Linked DNA regions of Lonchura striata. The protein of the gene in region 1 interacts with the protein of each later gene in a biochemical or structural test. Links are inferred from orthologs where the notes say so. Each region holds a gene or a part of one and is shown on either strand. Other genes may lie near its edges. The genes, in order: SEMA4D and B-cell differentiation antigen CD72.

What was found.
Region 2: the proteins of SEMA4D (region 1) and B-cell differentiation antigen CD72 form a complex in vitro, tested with the Homo sapiens proteins (2 studies listed by BioGRID and IntAct). The link is inferred for Lonchura striata from reciprocal best matches to the Homo sapiens genes SEMA4D and CD72.

What each region holds. Positions count from the first base shown.
Region 1 is NC_134642.1:8,236,333-8,247,034, reverse strand, and holds the start of SEMA4D (semaphorin-4D), read right to left. Parts: upstream 5,101-10,702; 5' UTR 5,030-5,100; intron 4,681-5,029; exon of another isoform or gene 4,663-4,680; intron 4,622-4,662; exon of another isoform or gene 4,354-4,621; 5' UTR 4,304-4,353; intron 1-4,303. UniProt on the Homo sapiens protein: Cell surface receptor for PLXNB1 and PLXNB2 that plays an important role in cell-cell signaling. Regulates GABAergic synapse development. Promotes the development of inhibitory synapses in a PLXNB1-dependent manner.
Region 2 is NC_134642.1:39,735,097-39,745,672, reverse strand, and holds B-cell differentiation antigen CD72, read right to left. Parts: upstream 5,353-10,576; coding exon 5,274-5,352; intron 5,189-5,273; coding exon 5,099-5,188; intron 4,888-5,098; coding exon 4,801-4,887; intron 4,278-4,800; coding exon 3,963-4,277; intron 3,724-3,962; coding exon 3,575-3,723; intron 3,242-3,574; coding exon 3,099-3,241; intron 2,213-3,098; coding exon 2,074-2,212; downstream 1-2,073. Other genes in the region: B-cell differentiation antigen CD72-like, read left to right, coding at 7,054-7,180, 7,275-7,376, 8,262-8,576, 8,706-8,854, 9,076-9,122, 9,495-9,624. UniProt on the Homo sapiens protein: Co-receptor of B cell receptor (BCR) that plays both positive and negative roles on B-cell functions. Recognizes the Sm/ribonucleoprotein (RNP) self-antigen ligand, and coligation of CD72 and BCR inhibits BCR signaling.

The DNA.
Region 1 (10,702 bases):
CTCTCCTCCCTGCTTTCCCAGTAGAACTGGCCATCTCCATATAACCTCTCCTGCTTTGCATATTCTTTTCTGTCTCCCAGCTGAGAAATCAGATGCAGTAACAACATCACAATTTCCCAGTCTGCTAATTCCATATATTTCCAAGTCACTTCCATAACAGTGCTTTATCACCTACACATCTGCTCAGCCTGCACAATCCTGCAGCAGAACACACAACCAGGCTCCATACAAGAAACGGGGAACCTGCCTGTCCTTGCAATGAGGCCAACAGGTACTAATTTTGCAGCAATGCTCAATCCTCTTTACTCTGCTTCATATATAGGCTAATACTAATTTTTTTAAGAGGATCAATTCAGAAAATGCCTAGTGGATTATGAGTTCAGTGCTGTACATTAACAGAGACAGAAATAGGTGGAAGAGCAGAGAAAGACAAAAAAAAAGTGTCCACTATTAACTTGTACCAACAAACTTGGACCTAAACTTCATACATGGGCTTCAATTAACTATATGAACAATCTTTATAAAGGTTCTTAAGTTCCTTATCTGCTTACATCTACAGATTTTTTTATTATGATTGTAATCTGTTTACAGTTCTTTATTATTTTGTCATCTGTTTTTTTCCCCTCCTCCAGACCACAAGAACTGGCTCCCTCAGTACAGAACAACACACTCTTGAAGTAAAGGCTGCTGTCTGGTGCTTTGAAAGACTTATATGTCCAAAGTCTCGGAGTAACAGTAGTGGAAAAAACACTCATGACCCTTCATTCAATACAAGTCTTATTTTCCTCCTCCATCCCATAATACAAAAAGGGAAAGCACTACATTTACAGAAATTAAGTTCTGGTATGTTTATTAATTTTGTTTTCAAAAACACAGACATGCCTAGAAGCTTGCTGCACCACAACTTGGTGTTACAGGGAGCAGGAGGAAACAGAGCAGCTCTTGGACACCCTTGGCTAGAAGAGGCGCTCAACACACTTGTAACTGCAGGCAGCATCTTCCCTCATGGTGAAACCAGGCTACAGCAGCACACCCAGAAGCTAAACAGGCTTTTGCATTCCTGGAACTTTACAGGAAGATAAAAGAATATAAAAGCTTTTTGGCCAGAATACAATTAAATGTAAGACCTCATTAATTCAGTTCTGGACAGCAAGATCTGTAACTTCCCAATCCTGGATGACAGCACACATTAGTCTGAAATAGGAGGTTCTACTTTTTCTCTTTGTAGCTGCAGAGCTATGAGAACAGGAAAAGTAATTCTTGGTTCCTTTCATCAAATCATCCAAGAAACAAGGACAAAACCTCCGTATCAGAAGGAAAACAATTAAAACAGCTTCCACATCTATCCCGCACAGCTGTATCAACACACTGGCAAGTTAACTGCAAATGGAAGCTTCAGTGGTGCCTTTTGGCATTCCCAAGCTCCACCTGGTACTCAACCAGAAGTTGAGTTGTATGCTCCACTGAAAAGCAGCTCTTCAGCCACTTCATCCTCCCAAGCTCAGGACACAAGTAAAGTTTTCTCATGCTTTTCAATACATTTCTTTTATCTATCTACCTAGACACTCAAGCACACGACTACTAAGCAAAGCCAGATGAAGAAAACCTTAGAAAATAATGCTTTATCATCAGAGAAATGACTAGTTAGAAAAAAGGAGGCAGAAAACTTTAGAGAAAAAGCAACCAAACAAAAGGCCAAAAGCACTTCCCAGCTCCTTGTTTATTATGCAGGTTCCCAAATGAGCATACCTTTCTTCAGTTAATTAACATAGCATACAGCAACTGAGTATAAGACACAACAGAGAACACTCCCTCACCAAACTGTTTAATATTACCACAATGAAAGTTTCCTATCTGCTTTCCTTGTTTTTGTTTCTTTAAATCTCCAGCCTTACTCTTACATGCTACCCAGAATTTAAAATACTGTGAAAAATTGTCTCAGTCATGTCTACAAGTACTTGATTTTTAGTTTAGTAAGACTCATAGTAGATCACCACCCATCATGAATAATGCTTTCATGGTCATATACCTTCAGAAGCTACTTTTCAACTCATTTAAATCACAGAATAAGAATTCAACAAGACCCAACATTTGGAAGCACTGGAGGCTTAAAAGACATGTTAGTCAACTTTGGTAATTATTTCATTACCTTTGCACAGCAAAACCTGGCGTAAGTAACTTCACCTCTGCACATTCAGAACTTTATATTCTGGTTACCTACAAAATCCCTATTGCAACAACTAGCTTGGAATTCCCTTTTTCCTGGAGAAAACCAAAGCTAAAAACAATTGGTGGAGTTCCAAGGTAATGTAAGTATGATAGAAATGCTCCAAGATTTTATTTCTACTGATTTAGAGTCCTATTTTAAAAAGCCATCCTTAAAAATGAGATTATGGAACAACCACCTATCAACTTATTCAACACCTTCTGCAAAGCAGGTGACATATGCAAGTATTAAATCTAATGCTAGCAGCCCAGAATAAGAACTGATTTTGACATGGACTGAAAGAGACCTCCCACTTGCTTCACTGCAAGAGAACAGCTAGGAAAATGCATTTTAAAACAAAAATATTCATTTAGCACACACCCCCTAAAACAGCTAGGAGAGAGGACAAGAGTGTGCTGCAGAGCAAGCACAGTGCAGCCTTCAACTCCACCCAAGTGGCCTTCAGCAAATGACAGATCCTCTGGAGTTCTCCAGCTCGCCCCAGCAAAAGGCTGCATGGAGCAGGGAACTTTGAGGCTCAGCTGCTCAGGAGGCAGGCCAATATGGGATGCGCCAGGGCATCCAGAACATCTCTTCTGTTTGCAGGACCTCTTAGTGGTATAAATCCACACATTTTGGCAGGGTACTGCTGTATCCATACAAGGTTAACAAGAAAAGTTATCAAGTGTTCAATGTGATAGCTGTTTATGCAGGGACTGGGCTGGGGGGGAGGAGAGGAGACTGAATCATAATACCAGCAGAGAGATGGCAACACAGCATATTAAATTAAGCCTGTGGGCACACCTGTACTTAAGTGTCCAGAAAAACCTATGAATCAGTGTTCGAGTTTCGAAACAGAACCATTCATATCAAACACTTAATTTGTTGTGGAAGTAGCTACTGCCCTCCCCACTAGCTACAATGGTTTTTGCTTCTTAAAAAAACACAAGAGAAATTTAAAAACCAGTATAGACCTATTTTGGTAGGTATGAATGGAAGCAGCTTTTGTCAGCAGACTCTGTAGCAATCCTGGATCACAGATAAAGGTATATAATGTAATCATTTCAGAGGAGGAGAGAGATGGTGAAATACTCCCTCTACACACCAAGAGATGATAGTAAAGACAGAGTTCATCTGTCAATCCTCTAAGAATATAAACGCAGTAACACATTCCCATGCCATCCGTTTGCTTCCAGTGGAAATAGCCACCTATAACTCATCTCTGCTACCAGAAAGAATGAGTGGCCATCCATACATGGCCTGCTCGTCCCAGGCAGCACACGGTACAAACACTCCTCCCTACGTACAGTGTTTCACCCGACACGAGCCACTCGGCTCTCCCTTACAATGCCCCTTTCTGACTCCGTTTGTAAATGATACTCCCACTCCGGCTCGGCCTCCACATTCGCCATCCACGCAGCCAGCACAGCTTCCTTTAGGCGCACTTGCGTAATTGCCTGAGCTCGCACTCTTTCTAATAAAAGAAGTCATTAAACTGTTCTCTAACAAAACCTTCATACAGGTATCCAAAAGGGAGTATGAGATCAGTAGCTATTTCTGAGCCTGATGGGCACACAGCATTCAAAAGACGTGTGCTAATTACTGTGAGAATTCTAATTTTGTTTAAAAAAGATGCATTATTGCTACATTGATTTTCAGAGCTACTAGAAATACCTGAGTGCTATAAACTTAAAGGTTTAAACATTTTTAAGCCGAAGTAACTCTCCGTAAGAGGTACATGACAATAAAGACATGAAGGAAAATAGGAAAATGTTTCAGCATTAAACCGGAAAGCAGACTTCAAAAATCCCTTCAATCTACAGATCCATCAGGTTCCGGACTACACCAGGGCAGGATCAAAATTCTACTCCCCTCCCTGCTAAAGGCAGTCATGTAATAGAAAGGACCTGCAACAATGAAGTTACCACGGCTGCATTCATCCACTCAAATCCTCTCCCTTAAACGCCCATGATGCGTATTTGTGTATACGCAGAAAACACCACGCAATAACCCACACCTCCGGGAAGCAGTGAAGACATCCTCTCGGAATTAGCCGAAAAGGCAAATGGGGACAGAAGACACTCTCTTCACACGTACCTTGCAAACTCAGCACCTCCGCGGAGACCCGATTCAAACTCTCCTGACAGCTAAAAAATAAAGCAGCACATAACAGCGCTTCAGAACACGTGCAGCCGGTTACCCGACAGCAAGCACCCGGTATCGCGCACGGCTCTTCGCTCAGCGAGGGACGGCGGCTCCCAGCAGACAGCGGCCTCCCCGAAGCGCCGGGACACACTCCTGGCAACCTGAGCTGCTGGCCCTTGGAAACCGACTGCTCCTCAGCCGGGCGAGAACGCCCCGCATCCATCCTCACCACCCTCGGCCGCGCCCCCGCCCCCGCGGCAGGTGCGGCAGGCGCGGACGGCGGGGCCCCGACCGCCACCCCGGGCACGCACCTGGCGGAGCCGCAGCCGCCCGCCCGTCGCCGCCGGAGTCAGCGGGGCTCGGAGGGGGGGGAGGAAAAGCAGATTTATAAACCTGGCAGCCCTCGCTCATTTGCTACGGCTGCAGGCTCCTCCTCTCGTCTCGCTCCGGCCCCGTGGCCGGCGGGGGCTGCCAGCGCCCTCGCCCCCCGCCCGAGCGCGGCGGCGGCCGGGCCCCGTCAGGCGGCAGGACGGGCTGCGTTCCGTAGGGGCGGCCGCGCCGCCCGCGCCCGGCTCCCGCAGCCCCACCTCGGCGGGGCCGGACGGTCGCTGCCCCAGCGACGGAACGCTCCCGCCCGCCGCCTCCCGCGGCCCGGCCCGCCCCGCCGGGCGCTCCTACCTGCGGGGCGCTGCGGCGCTCCCCTCGCACGGCCCCCGCCCGCCTCGGCGCCCTCCCCGCGGCTGGGGCTGGGCCGGCGCAGCCCCCTCCTCCCGCGCCGCTGGGGGCAGGCCGGCGGCGGGAGCGGCGGCGGCGGCAGGAGGAGGAGGAGGAGGAGGAGGAGGAGGTGTAACAAGTTTGGGTCGCCCCGCAGTATGGCGGCCGAGCGGAGCTGGGGGCGGGCCCGGCTGGGCTGGCTCCCGGGGGTTTGGCGGGGGCCCGAGCCGCCCTCAGCTCGGTGGTGCTCGGCCCTTCCCCCGCGGGCGGCGCGGCCCCGTTAACGGCGGCGGCGCTGGGACACCAGCCGGCCTCGGCGGCGGCGGAACCGCTGCCCCCGCCCGTCCCTGGGGCTGTCCCTGCCGAAAGCAGGTGCGGCGTCCCGCGGCTCGGCCGGGCCGGAGCCGCCGCCGCCCTCGCACCCAGCGCCGCTTGTCGCGTTCCGCCGCTCCTCCTCCGCCCCTCCGCGGGCACGGGGGATCCGCTCGCCGCAGACCGCAGGGAAAACCGCACCTGGGATCCAGCCTGGTACCATGGGAGTGAAATAACTCGTGTCATAAGCCGTTGCTACTAGAATTACTGCACCTTAGAGGCATAGGTGCGCTTAGGTGACTGCTCGGCGGTATATGAAAGGAGGACAGAAAATAGGTCAGTAAATGCACAGATCTCACCCGCGGTGATCCTGCTGAGTCACTGATGAGCTATTGATTACCGTCATGTCCCTGCACGCCTGGTGTGACTGTTCAGATGAATGGCATGGACCGACACATGGGTCTCTGGTTTTGGATTGGGGTTTGGTTTGTTTTATTGCTGCGGAACAGGTGATACCAGTGTCATGAAATTGCCATAGTTTGGTTAGCAGTAGTCATTGAAGCAAGACTGGACAAAATATTTAGCTTGTCAGACAATAGCACTTGCTTTACTGCCTGACCTTTAAATTCCGGCATTTCACAATACTGTATTTTTACAATAACATGCTAGTCAATCTCTAATAATTCATATTAGCTGTAGGTAAGAAATAACATCAGGAAGAAATCATTGAGGAGATCTAGCCTCTTAAAGCATGGAGGCATGGTAATAACTTCAGATTAAGGAAGTTACATGCAAAGCAACCTTGATATTTCAGGGTCTACGAAATGGTAGCATCTGAAGGAGGCTACTAGCATAGCCGGCAAACAGTCTGTTGTGTGGTAAACAGTGGGAAACGAGTTTTCCTGCACTACATTTTCAAAATGGTGATGTAACAGTCCATCTTAACAATGGATAACCAGTGTTCATCACGCCATTGACATCAAATATGGTCGTAATGCCATCAAAACATTGGATGTGAAGCATGGAAAAGAAAGTAATCATACCCATAATCATCTGGGAGATGGCAGCAGGAGCGGCTGAGAAGACATGGTCTGCAAGGAAGGGGCAGAACCACTTCTGATGATTAACCTGAGTCCGAAAGGGGCATAAATGAGAGGGTGAAATGAACCCGTGCCAGAAAATCCTTGCTGAAAATACAGTAGCATGGTAAAAAATCCTTATCATACTGTATTTGGTAAATTGCCATAATTTATACCATCAGAAGATTAACCTGCATCTCCACTGGGACTCACTGCTGGTATTAATATGCTGACAAAACCCTCCAGTGTAGACAAGACTTTAAGCATGTCCTGAGGGAATACAACTATGAAATTATATTACAAGGGAAGAAACAAAGATGCTTTTTTAATCTCTCATTTTACAGAATCTAGACTTGGGCAATTCTTAGCTCTGAGTAGAAAAATCACAGGGATTTTGTCAGGTTTCCCCATGAAGCCTGCAGTCTGTACAAATTTCCAAAACCAGGGAGTGGCACAAGGGAACTGGAGCAAAGGCTAGCACAAACACAAAATTCCCATTATTTCTGACTCTATCCAAGTAATACGTCATTACCTTTTAAGAATTATATTGTTAATTTTTATGAAGTAGCTTTCAATCTCCATTCTCAGTGAAACCTGGAGAGTCTTACAGACTTGAAGGTTGGAGGTGAAACAAGGAATTGATATTTGTACCTTGTCAAATGGCAAATTCTCAATCACATTTAGACCCTTCTTTCAAGTATATATTACCAAATGGGATTTGATGGGAAAAAGAAAACACTAGTAATAACAGTGTTGGGAACTTACAGCTGGTACCATGAATTGCACCACTGAAAATTCCTTTTGGTTACAATTATAAGTCATTTATTTCACAGGAATAAAAAACAAATGGCCTCTGACACAGATTTGAGAAGTTTCCAGAGGTCTGTAATGCTAATCTGGGTTGTATATTAATCTGAGCTAGTGATGTAGGGCTGAAGACACTGGTCCTCATAGTAATTATAACTGATTTTGTTTTCCAAAAAAATATAATAATCTCCCAAATGCTGCATGCTGTTGCAATGAGATCAAATAATGAACAATTGTTAATACATGTCCACATCAATTCCATAATGGGTATTCCAAGGACATGGAGGAAACATGCTTTTAAAAACCTTTACTATAAGCATAATAAAGTCTAATCTTCAAAAGGACACATAATGCTTTCTGCAAAGTAATAGTATATAAAGACTGCCTCAGTCCTAACACATTTACTTCAGACAATGTGTTGGGGTTGAATATACAGACAGGTATTTTAAGTCTAGGCAAGCTGTGTCAAATCTGTGCCAGGAAAAATAAATAAGCAATTAAGAAAGAAAAAGGGGTTAAAGAAAGCTGTAACAACTGATGGTGCTCTTAAACCTGCAGTCCTTAATTAAACTCACAAACAAATAGGCTGCAGGATAGAAGATACAGGAGCAGAGTCAGGACTGAGAGAGACTAAAACTGTCTCAGAAGCCAGGTCTGAGGCTGAGGGCAGGTCTGTCCAAGAGTGAGTGAGTGAACAGGTGGTAGGTTTTTAGTAAGTCAGTGAAAAGGGCATTGAACATGCCCAGAGGTTTGCAAACCGATACATAATACAGGGAATAGGTCAGTAGCAGGGTGCGTGAGAGAATGAATAGATGAGAGAATAAAGTAAAAAATAGTTGGGTTGAATGAGTGCAACTGTGAACAATTCTGAATAAAGTCAAGGTTTCAAGCTACACCTTTATATTGCTATGATGGCGTGACTTTTCAAATCACTCATCATTGATATAAGCCAGCATTAGAGGAAAAGAGCACACATTGCTGAAAAAAAATCCCTTTTCACTACCAATTTTGGGAAAATAACATAATAAAAATAAAGATTTAAAATACATTTTACAGTCATGACAATAAAAACAGTTTTGGAAACCTTAGTACAGAAAAGTAAGCACACAAAAGGCATCTAAAAGCATTGTCCAGTAAATTAATATTGATTAACATTATTAAGCTACTAGAATTGACATAGATGTAAAATTATTTGCAGAGCAGGAAGATGCCATTAACTGTCCTAGTTAGGAACCTGATACACAACTGCTCAAAGTGATTTGTGCAAGATTATACAGTAGGTGAGTGACAGAACCACAGATGGATAAAGCCTTGACCTTTTACTTTTGTATCCTCCCCATCAGGCAGAGAAAATGCATTGACTTCACTTTGCAATTACAGAGGCAGTGAAACTAAATTATAATAGTCAAGGAGTTTTATCTCCTGACCTTGGGGTTTTTTGGGTTTCTTTGGGCTGAAGACTTCCTATATCATTATGGATAAACATGGCAATTATACACTCAGAGACTTTAAAACTGTCCCTGTATTTACCATGTTTGTATGCCTAAGACAGGAGAAGAGGGAGCTAAGTAAATGCTACACAGACATCTGCATTTAGATGATGTAGAGTAGGGGAAGTGCATGTCTGGATGACGTGGCAGAGGAAGAAGGTCTTTTTCTCTGCCTTTGGTGGATCTGTGTGGCTAAGAGCACTGTAAAGGTCACAGAGAATATTTTCCATTTCATTTCCTAATCTGGAATAACAGATTTAGGGGAGCTACACTGTAGGTTAATGTCTAACCATTAGTTAGACATCTGCAGTCTAGTCTATTAAATGTCACAGCACAGCCTGTTAGAAAGTTTGCTAAAAGGATAAGGGACATGGTGGATTTGGAGAAGGATTGCAAAAGTGGTAGGGATTCCTCTCATTCTGATGCTGGGTCAGCATTTGTATTTTACAATGAGATATTACTAGCAAGTTACATTAATAACATACTTTGCTCATAGGCAAAACAACAGCAACAAATATTTTGTGTTTTCACTTACCAGTGTCCAAATATGGAGCCTGTAAGTCTTACACCAACAGCTCAGTTATGTGCATGCTTACAAAATTAAGAAACTAACCAGTCCAGTGGTCTTTTCGTAGGAAGATGGCATGGAAAGACTTAGAATCAACAATCAATGAATAAAAAATGAATGATAAAAGACGCTTTATCCACTCTACATGGCGGAAGAAGTGCATGGCCTAGAGAAGGCCATGTTTATTAATGAGAAAAATAATAAAAAAGGTGTCAGCAGTGCTTACCTCAGGGGACAAGGTCAATGAGGCAACATCAATAATGGAGTACATTAAGAATAATGAAGAAACTAAAACTCAATATATTGTTTTTATGTTTTTTGAAAATGCATTTACATTTCCAAAAAGATCAAAGTAATGAAAATTGTTTAATGGAGTCATCACCAATCACAGGAATCATTTCTGATTACGTGGTTTTCATACATATAATACCAATATCAAACTATTGGTGTGGAGTAACATGTGCTAGTCATGAATAAATATGAAACCAGAGAGGTAACAAAAGTGTTCTGTTGTTAATACAGGAAAAGCAAATGTAGGGTTTGAGAATAGTGGATTAAGACATTTAGAAACTTATACTAAGCTTGCATTCTTCCTGTATGGACCTTACATTTTTATTGCCTGCATTATTACAGTATTTTATGATGTTTTCTTATTTTCCTTACATTTTTTAGTAGAAGAATAACTTAATATGATGCTTTACAAAAACAAATTAAGAAGTGGAATTACAGAAGATTTTTCTTGTGACAAACTTGATTGTAAAAGACAGTAGTCACAGACCTGTCTCTTTTATGTGTGCATGTCTCTGATCACAGTGTGGCCTGAGAAGAGGGGAATGGATCATCAGAGTAGTGAGTGAAAAGTCTGCCTTTTTATCAATCAGAATAGCATTCTAGTTCAGTTACTTTCCATGCACACAGTTTACTTGGAGAGGATCACAAGACTAGTGGGATTCTTTAACTTGTACCAATGTCTGTAACTACCTTTGACTGTTATTTCTGCTGAGTTACCCAGCTAACACCTGTACACTCCCAGCTTTGAACCTTGATAGAAAAGCAATATTAATGTTAAAGCATGAATCTCATAGTTGCTCCTGTTCCTGTACAGGGCATCTATCTCAAGTAATGACAAGCCAATTGATTCCTGTCAACACTTGGACAACCATGAATGTGCAAAATGAGAAGCCAGCAGTGGAAATATACTGTGAATAAAAAGTGAAATAAAAAGTGAAAGCAGACTGCTTTCTTCTCCTTGTGTGATTTTTTTTTTTCTTTGTGCTGACATCTTTTGTCCTTCTCACTCCCAAAAAATGCAAAAACCTGATGTAACTTGCTTCTTGAACTAAGTCGCCCCAATAACCACTCCTTGACTGAAGCTAAACCA
Region 2 (10,576 bases), about 31 Mb from region 1:
AGAGGTCAGCGTGCGTTATGTGTGTTTTTGGGGATCCTGGGGGGCTGGTGGGTGAACCCGTGTGTGTCCACAAGTGTGGGGAGCACACCAGTCCCTGACATGGGGAGAAGAGGGCAGGGGACCGTAGAAGGGCAATGCCCGTGGGCAGTGCACTGGGAGGATTGCCAGCATTGGGGTTGTCCCTACCTGACCGATGCTGAGAATTGGGTGCTGAGTCAGAACAGTGCCTCACATCTCCCTGGCACGCAGGTTTGGGAGAAGGATGCTGGCAGAGGGGCCAGGATGCCATCCTGGCATCATGGGGATGGGGCCAGTGGGCAGCACAGTTAGGCTGCCTGGCCCCCCGGCAAGGGTGGGAGCCGGCTTTCCTCCCTCCTGCACAATGCACTGGTGAATGCAGAACTCTTTGTGTTTTTTATTATTATTAATAATAATTGCTAGTAATATATACCCAGCTTATTTAAAGTGTTCATTAAAAACTGAATGTCCCAGAAACTCAGACTGCTAGTTCTGTCTCTTGGATGCACATCAGATGTGGGCCCAGAAGGTTGCATAGTCTTGCCTGGGCATTCTGGGGGACTCCTCCAGGACTGCAAACCAACCTGGCTCAGCCCATTATTTCAATTCCCCTAAAGCACCCATCTTGACTTGAGATGGCTTCAGACAAATTCCCTTTCATTATTTAGGTTCTTTGGGTTCATGTCCTTGAGTCCGTGTTTGCTGTGGTGTACAAGAAAACAAAGAGCAGACAAACTGTGTCTCTTTATTGCTATCGAGTCTAGCCAGCAGACAAGACAGACGAGGAACACATGCCTCCTCCAAAAAGCCTGCCGTTAACACCCTTTTGCTCTTCATGCAAGCTTACTCACACAGCAGTTCATCAACTATATATGGCACACACAACCTTATCATAAACCGAGAGCATTTTCGCCTGGTTGAACATAACTTCCTGTGCTCTCACCTGGCTGCAGTGTTACATCAGGGCTGCTTTGCTTAATCTTCACATGTGCACGTGTGTAGCAGCTATTTAAAGCCCTGATGAGTTGTCTTGCTCTGTCAGCCTGCTACAAGTGCCTGAGTTAACTTTCGCTTTTGAAAGATGCAATCACACCATGGGACCCTAAAGGTCATTGTTCTACTTTCTAATTAGCGCAAAAAAAAAATCCCCAAATGTCAGCACAGGCACCAGCCAGTTCGGGCTCAGCTTCCCTCCTTAGGTGCTGAGGCTTTGCCAAGGCCGTTGAGTGCTGGGTGAAAAGCCGTGGTCAAGCTGCTCCTGCAGTGGGGTCGGGCGGAAAATTCCTGCTGTGGGGAGGGAACTGTGTGGGGGTGGGGCTGTGCTATCCCCAGCTCCCGCTCCTGACATGTCAGCAGCACAGCTCTCTCCAGCTGGAGATGTGGCATGGCTCCAGCACTATCAGTGCTTGATCCACTCCGCAGCCAGTTCCGAGCTCCCCACTGCCCACCAGCCATTGTGCTCAGAAGACCCAAAGTGTCCCATGCAGGTGTGGGGTCGGCTGTGGAGCCTCTACCACTCAGCCAAAGCACATCAGCTGGAGGCAAAGGGTCACGGGGCATCAGGACCTGGGAGGAAGGACCTGGGTGGCCCAGGAGCAGTGGGCTGTGGGAGGGAAGTGGCTGTCTGGAATGGATGGGACATCCTGGGCACAGCAAGGGTGGAGCAGAGGCAGTGCAAGATGCAGGTGCTGCAAGGGAAAGCAGAGGAGGGTGAGGTAGGGTAAGGGGGAGATGCTACCCAGCCTCCACCACATGCAACAGAGCTGGGAAAGCACCTTGCCAAGGGTTTTCCCCCATCTTCCCCTTTTGCTGAGCCACAGCTTCAGGTCTTGAGCTACCTCAGACCCAGAATGCCCATGGCAGTGAAGGGATGGAGACAGGTTCCATCCAGCACAGGGAGGTGACTGCACTTCTCTGCCTTTCCAAGGGAGAGGGGCTCACCATGCCCCATGCAGAGCTGCAGGGCTCCCTGCTTTCCTTGAGGCACACCCCAAAGAGCGTGTGTCCCTGACTCAGCAGGACTCACCACAGCGGTGCTGGGGCCAGCAGCCACCATCACATGAAAGGGAGGCTTGGCCCTGCTGCCTTCTCACAGATCCAGAGGTGCAGGTCACTGGGACCAGTGCACTGGGCAGGTTTGATGCTCCCACGGCTTATTATGGCACAGGTTCCATTTGATTTTGACTGCCATGGCCTGAATGGGGAAACAACACATCAGGCACTGACATGTTCTTTCTACAAACCCTGCTGAGGCAGCTGCGGCTGCTGACAACTGCCTTTTGTACACTGGCAGAGGAGTGGTCAGATGCTGGAGGCAAAGGGGAATCCCCCAGTCCTCCCCTACTGATTTCACAGGCTGAAGCCTCGGCTGATGTATCCCTGCACTTTCATGGGCAGGCTGAGAAACACTGTAAAATGTTTGCAGTGCTTGAGACACCCCTTTAGCCTCCCCCTTCTCAGCTTCACTGGTGGCAGTTGTTCCATGCCTGCGATAGGGAGAGCCAGGTCCTCCCTGAAGGCATGTGAATGACCAGAGGAGCTGGCCTGAGCCCTGGGTCTGTTCTGGGCACAGCTCCATGGCAGGGCTGAGGATGGAGGGCCAGGTGCCCACAACCTGGCCAGACAGGTTTGTTCCTCCCCAGTGCTCTCAGACACTGCAAGAGGAAGCATCAGTGAGCTGAGGAGGTGGTGCACGTGGCAGGGAGCAGCCCAGGATTCTCCACAGACAGGGAGGCTTATCTCCCTTTGGAGAGGAATCAAGAAGGCATGTGGGGGATAGAGGTGGTGCTCAAACACCTTGCCTAGGGCCCAATTAAAATCTGGGGTTTCTTCCCACTCCTTGCTGCCTCCTGCTTCACATGCCCTGCATTTTACCCACCCCCTAGTCTTGGCTTTCCATTTGCGTGTCCTCTAAGCGCCTCATCACACCATTGCACCCACCTTCCCTCAGTCCCTGCTGCTCTGATGTTCTTTGTTTTCAAGGGCCTGTGCCTGGAACCAGTTACTGGTGGGATTTAAAACACTTCCTAGAGCCATGCCAGAGGACGGGATATTTGGGAAGAGGCAGTGCTGCCACATACCTTTCATAAAGGGAGCCGTCCACCCAGAACCAGGCCCCCTCACCCTCTGGGTCCTCTTCCTCCAGCCAGCCATAGTCGTACCAAGGAAAATTGCCCTTCTGCAACCCAATCCAGTATGGGACATCTGCATTCTTCAGGAAGGTCTGGAGAAGAAGAAAAAGTGCTTTTCCATGTTTTATTCCATGGCACCCATGTACTGCCATAGTATATCCTTCAAAGTGGGGTGATCATCTCCCCAAGGAGCCCCTTGAGTCAGGACAGCTGAGCAGCCCTGGTGCCCTGCTCCAGCCTGGGGAACATCCAGGGATGCCAAAGCCTTTCTATCTCATGTCAACCACCAGATATGTGCTCCAGAGAACAGCCTTGTACCCTCCAATGTTTTGGCAGGACAGGGGTCCCCAGAACCATGCTAGCCCATCTGGGGACCTCATAGCTGGATACAGCATCTCCTGCCCTCAGCTCCCCCAGCACCCTACCGGCACAGTCCAGCGACTCCAGGATTTGGTGACCAGGAGCTGAGAATATGTCTTCTCACACTCATCTCTGCTGTCTTCCCAAGTCTTCTTCTCCGAGGAGATGAAGAGGCATTTGCCCCTGTACAGCAGCCAGCCAGAAGGACAGCAATCTATGGGTAGGGACACAGCTGAGGGGCTTGCTCAGCCACAGATACCCTGGGGGGTAACAAGGAACAGTCCCACACCTTCCCAGCAGACATCACAGGCTCAGTGTCTGCTCCGGGCATTGCTTCAGCTCTTGAACCACCTTGTCCCCACCATGTGGTCAAAAAAGCCAGTACTTGCCCCTTGACACCTGCTGAGCGGTGCCAGTCACCCAGAGCACCCCCTCCCTTCTCCACCACCCTACCTATAGCTGTGCAGGAGCGCAGGAGGGCCACTGTGCTCTCGCTGTTGTTGAGCCTCCCCTGCACCTCCTGCACCTCCCTCTCTGTCCTGCCTAGGACCGCCGTGACGCGACGCAGCTCCGTGTTCAGTCTGTCCAGCTGCAGCTGGCTGATGTTGCCCTCGTGCCATGCTCGCTGCAGCTCTTCTCTGGCCCATGCCAGCTCCAGTTGTGTCTGCTCCAGGCTCTGCTCCCGCACCCTCAGCTCCTGTGACAGGCGGCCCTGCTCGGACGCGTGCTCACGGGAGGAGTCCTGCAGGCTGCGGGTGACCTGCCAGTCTGGGGAAGAGGGTGGGTGAGCTGGACATGGGCATGGGACAGTTTGGATGTGGGACTGACCCTGCTTAAGGGAGGTGGGATGGGCAGGGCAAGGCAGAGGTTTATCCATGATGAATGGGAAAAGATGTGAGGGAAGGACACAGCAGGGAAGTGTACAGTTAAGGGTTGGGCATGATCTGGCAGGGGAGAGCAGGACAAGGTAGGATGGATATAGGATGGATATAGGAGCAGACACAGCAGGTTAAGGGCAGGAAGAGTGCAGCAATAATGAGGCTGGACAATGCCAGGATTGGAAAGAAAAGGAGCAGAAATGGAAAGTAAAATTAGGAAGAGGGTAATGGGAGGCAAAGGAGGTGTGAGGGATGTGCGAGGGATATAGGCCAGCTTGTGGCAGACAGGGCATAGGGACTTAGCAGTGAGTGTGCATAAGCATGCCTCTATTCACCCACAGTGCCTACCCCAGCCAGATGCCTTCCTGACCCAACCACTCCCTGCCCCAGATGTTCACAATCCTCCAACTCACAGCAAGCCCCCAGGGCCACAGTGGCCACCAGCAGCAGGCAAGTCACCATCAGACCCACAGGGATGCACCACCAACGAGAGCAGCACCCTGTATGACACAACAGACAACAGACATCACCTGAAGAGCTGGAAAACCCCTAACAGCCCCCAGACCTCCTTCTTGGATACAGGCAGGAGAGTGGTGGCATGACAGCACAAATGGAATGGTGTGGGTGATGGGAGTGGGAGGACCCCAGAATACCACCCACAACCTACACCGGAACCATCCTGTGTCTGCTGGAATCCAGCTGGGTACTCACCTGGGTTGGGCTCTGCTCCATCCTCATCCTGCCCTGCCAGTGCTGGCTGCATGTTCTCGAAGGGGCTTTCTGCCTCATTCATGCCAAAGGCTGTTGGAGGAAGGCAGGGGAGAGTAGCTGAGGCCATGGGGCTGGGCATGGCAGGGACAGTGTGTCAGGGCCAGTGGGCTCTCACCTGCCTCCAGCTCCTGGCTGGCCATGCTCCGGCCTCCCATCACTTTGGCAAACCTCAGATCAGCATAAAGCTGGGCCATGTGGGCAAATGCCGGGCAAGCCCTGAGCCTCGCTGGCTCCTGCTCCACCCTTGGGATGCCTTTCTGAGATGTCCCTGTTCCCGGTGATTGCGCCGTCTCTTGGAGGTGCAAAGGAGAAGTGCAGCCAGCATCTGCAGAAGCAGAAGTTTGCTCTGCACTGTAGCAGATGGGAGAAGTGAGGCATGGCTGTGGGGACCAGCACCCTCTCATTGGTCACAGAAACACCAGCCTGTCCCCTCCCACACCCTAGAAGTGCTCATGGTCCCCCTAGGCACAGGGCAGGATGAGGACAGCACAGCCAGGTGTCACAGCAGGGGCAGAGCGAAGGATAGACCAAATGTGTGGTCTACAAGTCAGAGCAGGGCAATCCTGAATACAGGAGCAAATTGCTGCGTGACAGCTCCATGAAAAGCTGGAGGTATTCACAGATAGAGATTTCCTCTCCTAGCCTCTGAGAATGGGACTTTCCCCATGATGTATTTTGTTCCACTACCTCTCATCCCTTCCCTGGACCCCTCCAATGAAGACCCCAACTTTGGCATTGCTCCAAAACAGCCCCAGAGAGTTACAAAAATCAGTGACGTCCCCTTTGCCTTCCATTCCCAAGACCACAACCCCATGATTCACAACATCTTCCTGGTCCCTCCAGGCCCTCAGTGTCTCAGAGGTCTCTACTGAACTGCATCCAGAGGCAGGTTTCAGAAGGGATGTCCCCAAACCCTCCCACTGCTTCCCATTGCCTGCTACTGCCTCCCTCTCCATTCCACTGACTTACCATTGCCTCCCACTGTCTTTCAGATGGGCACATCTGAACACAGCCAGTCCCTGGGACAGCACTGGAGGTGCACAGTGGTGCTGATGGAGCAGTGTAACATAGCCACTGTCCTTCATTTCTGCAAGAGCAAGGGAAGGTCTTCCTCAGTGGAGAAAGGCAAAAATCAAAGCCAGCTTCAAAGGGGACAGGAAGGAGGTTTAGAAAGCTAAAATTTGGGCAGCCTCTACTCAACCTCCTGGAAGAAAATGGAGCATATCTGCCTGGGCATGCAAGGGCCCAGACCCAGAGAGGACATGCAGGGGAAAGGCCAGTGGCATTTAATGAGTGACTGCCCAATGTACCTCCTACTGCTTGGAAGCACTAGCCTGGGGTCAAGGGGAAAGCAACAGGACCATTTATTATGACCCTTCAGCATCTGGGATGCGGTTTTCCACAGTGTACTTGGTGGCAGAATGGAGACATGTGGCCGTGATGAGAGGAGAAGTGAAAGCTCATGCTGCAATGTGGAAGTCTCTTTTAGGCATCAGGGCAGCGATGCTCAGATCCTGGACCAGAGCACCAAGAAGAGGGAACCTCCATCCTGGATAGAGTCAGCAGCAGACCTCCCTATTCCTAGCTGGAAGCCAGACCTGCTTTCCCCTGCCCTAGGAAATTTGGTGAATTCTCTGTAGGCCGAGCCCTACAGCTCTGCCCCATGCTCCAGCCCCGAGCTGCACCGCCCCAACGCCATCCCCAAGGGACACTGAGCAGTTTTGGGGGGTGGAAGGAAGCGAGATGGTGGTGCCTGGCCAATGGCAGGGCGCCGGTGCCGCGGCCGTACTTTCCTCTCCGTCGCACCTCAGCACACTTCTGCTTCTACAGAAACCAGCTGCAGTTTTCATTCGAAGCAGAGCAGAGCCCGCAGGGCCATCGGGACCGCCCGGGACATGGCCCAGAGTGTGGTGTATGCTGACCTGAAGTTTGCCACGGGGCCCTCATCCACCGCTCCCGACGAGGATGACAGCCCGTACGAGAACGTGCCGCTGGGGCCGGCGGCAGCAGCGCCCAGCGCAGGTGCGACCGGGCAGCAGCCGCTGCCGCGGGCAGCCCCGGCGCAGGAGGCGCCAGGGACCACGGCGTGATGCCTGCGGGCGCTCCTCTCTTGCAGGGCGCTGGACCCGGCGATGGCGCGTCCCGACAGCGCTGCTGGCAGCCAGCCTGCTCCTGCTGCTGCTGCTGTTTGTGGCCGTCGTGGCCCTGGGGGCTTGCCGTGAGTCGGTGTCTGCCGCGGGGTGGGGGCAGCCGGGAGGAGGCACCGGGAGCGGGCGTCGGGCTGGGCGAGGGGCTGGGGGGCTGTCAGGGCGGAGGCGTGCCTGGGGCTCTTGCATGGCCACCACCAGCTGCTTCCCGCTGCCTTTCCCACTGCCTACCACTATCTGCCCGTATCTCCCCATGTCTTTTCCACTGCCTTCCATTGACTTCCCACTGCCTCCCACCCCTTCCCATGGTCTTGCCCCTTCTTCCCGCCAATCCCTCCCACCGCCTCCCACTCCGTGTCACTGTCTCTTCGCTGCCTCTCATAGTCTTCCCACTGCTACCCACTGCTGTCTTACTGCCTTCTGCTGCTTCTCAATCCCTCCCACTGCCTCCCACTCTCTATGAATGCCTCCCATTTCCTCCCACTGTTTTCCCACTGCCTCCCATTGCCAACCATTTCCTCCCACTGCCTTCTACTCTTCCCTAGTTATTGCCTCCTAATCCCTCTGACTGCCTTCTCATCACTGCCTCCCATTCTCTCCCACTGACTTCCCACTGTCTTACATTGCCTTCCACTTCCTTCCACTTCCTCCCACTGCCTCACATTGCCTCCCCATTTTATTCCCACCACCTTCTGCTGCCTTCCCACTGCTTCCCATTGCCTCCCACCACCTTCCACAGCTTTCTCATTGATTCTCCTTTTCTTCCCACTGTCTCTCGCTGCTTTCCAATGTCTCCCCTCCACCTGCCACCACCGGGGCTTCTGTTCCCTTCCCACTAGCATCCCCACGACAATCTCCACCCACAGCCAGATACTCTTATCCCTACTCTCACTTGCAAGAGGCATGACCCAGGCAGGGCTCCATGCCCATGTCCAGCTCACCCACCCTGTTCCCAGACTGGCAGGTCACCCGCAGCCTGCAGGACTCCTCCCGTGAGCACGCGTCCGAGCAGGGCCGCCTGACACAGGAGCTGAGGGTGCGGGAGCAGAGCCTGGAACAGATACAACTGGAGCTGGCATGGGCCAGAGAAGAGCTGCAGCGAGCATGGCACGAGGGCAACATCAGCCAGCTGCAGCTGAAAAGCAGCAATGCTGAGCTGGGGCATACCCAGCAGGAGCTGGCTGTGTTGCGGGAGGAGATGCATGTGGTGCAATGGAAGCTCAACAACAGCGAGAGGACTGTGAGCAGCCTGCTTGCCTGCATTAACACAGGTAGCGCGTGACAGTGTTGGGGCACAGGTGATGTTGCTGCTGCAAAGATGAAGGGGCTGAACTCAGCCAGGCTGAGCTCCCCAAGCATCCATAGAAGGATGAGTGTCTGAGCTGTGCCCCTGCCCCCAGATTGCTGCCCCAGGGGCTGGGTACTCTTCAGGAGCAAGTGTCTCTTCATCTCAGTGACAAACAAGACCTGGGAGCAGAGCTGGGAGGACTGTGCAGAGAGATTGGCTCGACTGATGGTCCAAGATAACTGGACACCACTGACAGTGCCGGTACAGAGCAGGGGGGTTGTGGTACCCCAGGAGGGTGGCGCTGGGTAGAGCCCCATGGGGCTAGCTGCAGCAGTATCTGTGGAGGTGCCAGGGTGGCACCATGAGCCCCAGATTCCCATCCTGGCAGTCTGATGGGATAAGCACAGCCAACCCTGGGGCTCCTGGGCTCCTAGCAAGTGCTGGTCATGAAGTAGGTGGTTGACAATTTCTCTCCCCCCTAGTATTTTATGCATGCATCTAAGGCACACTACTGGATTGGAGGAAAGGCAAGGAGATCTGAATGGATGGACAACAAACCTCCCTTGTAAGTGCAAGAGTCCTTGGCACAAGCACCTGCCCTTTTGCCATACTAGAGAGGTGCTGTTTTGCCCCTGTGACACCCTTCGGTAAAAGGGTTGATGGATTTCCATGACCAGTGCCCCAAGGGAGGGGGGGTGAGGGTAGAGCCAAGCTGTGGGGTGCAGTGCCAAATATCCAAGTGGCAGAGAAGTAGAGCAAGAGGAGGAATGTGACACTTCCTAAGAGTGATCTCTGTGCCAGGTGCCTTGCCTGCCCCAGCAGCACCGGGATCTATGGGAAGTGGTGTCCATGGTGAGGAGGTTGTCACTACTGCCCTGAGATATGCCATCTTTCCTAGGAAACGCCATACTAATTGCTGGTCAGTAATTAATGGGGAAATGTGGAGCAAGAACTGTGACAATGCCTACCAGTGGATCTGCGAGAAATCCCCAAAGCTGAGCAGTGCATCTGAGACTCAATCTCTTTTTTGACCAAGGACTGACTGCTGCCACCTCCCTCCATCACTGGACTCAGGAACAGGACCTGGGTGTGCACCCTGAGTTCCTCTCTCCAGTGAACACTTTGCCTCAATTGCGTTGCAAAACTGCTGGGAGAAAGTGTCTCTATTTTAAAGCAAGGATTGTGGAAAATAGACCTTATTCCACTCTCCCACACTTATGCAAACACACATTATACTGCTTTGTACTGTACCACTGCATGTCCCTGTGTGCTCTGGCTAATGCAGCTCTGACCCAGGTCTCCAGCGCCGAGCCCAGCTCTCACCTTCTTTGTTACCCCAAGGCTGCTGGGGTACAGGATCTGCCATTTGCGTATTTTTGGAGCTGAGGGTTGACACACTGATGTTCTCAAACTGTCCATTTTGGGGAGACCTGTGGATTTACAGCCTGTCCCTTCTCTCAGCATTCACAGCTCTTTTCCTGACGTTTCTTCTGTCTTCATCACCTGCCCAGGGCTTTGTGCTGGGTCCTACCTGGAAAGGGTGCTGACAGTAAGGCCATCAGCATGAGAAAATGCTGGGAAGCCCAGAGACCATATAAGAAGTGGGGGAGTGCTGGGGAGTTTTGAGAACATGGTGGATGAATGAGGAAACTCTGAAACCATGGGAGGAAAATGAGGGCAATGAAGAGCCCTAAAACCCTGGGAGGTGAATGTGGAAATCCTGAGACCACGGAAAGAAAGGGAGTGCAGTGGAACTGCAAATGAGGGTGGTCCTGAAAAAATGAAGGTGCACTGATAAGACAGTGGGAGAGAGGAAGAACCACTAGGGAGACTTGGGAACATAAGGAAAAGGGGAGACCCCTCCCACCAAGGAGGAAAGATACCTAAGAATGTGGTGGGACCTTATCTGCCAAAGGAGGGTGATAAGACACTTCAGTCCAGGACCCAGTTGGGGTGTGGGGGGAGTCCAGAAACAGCTCTGAC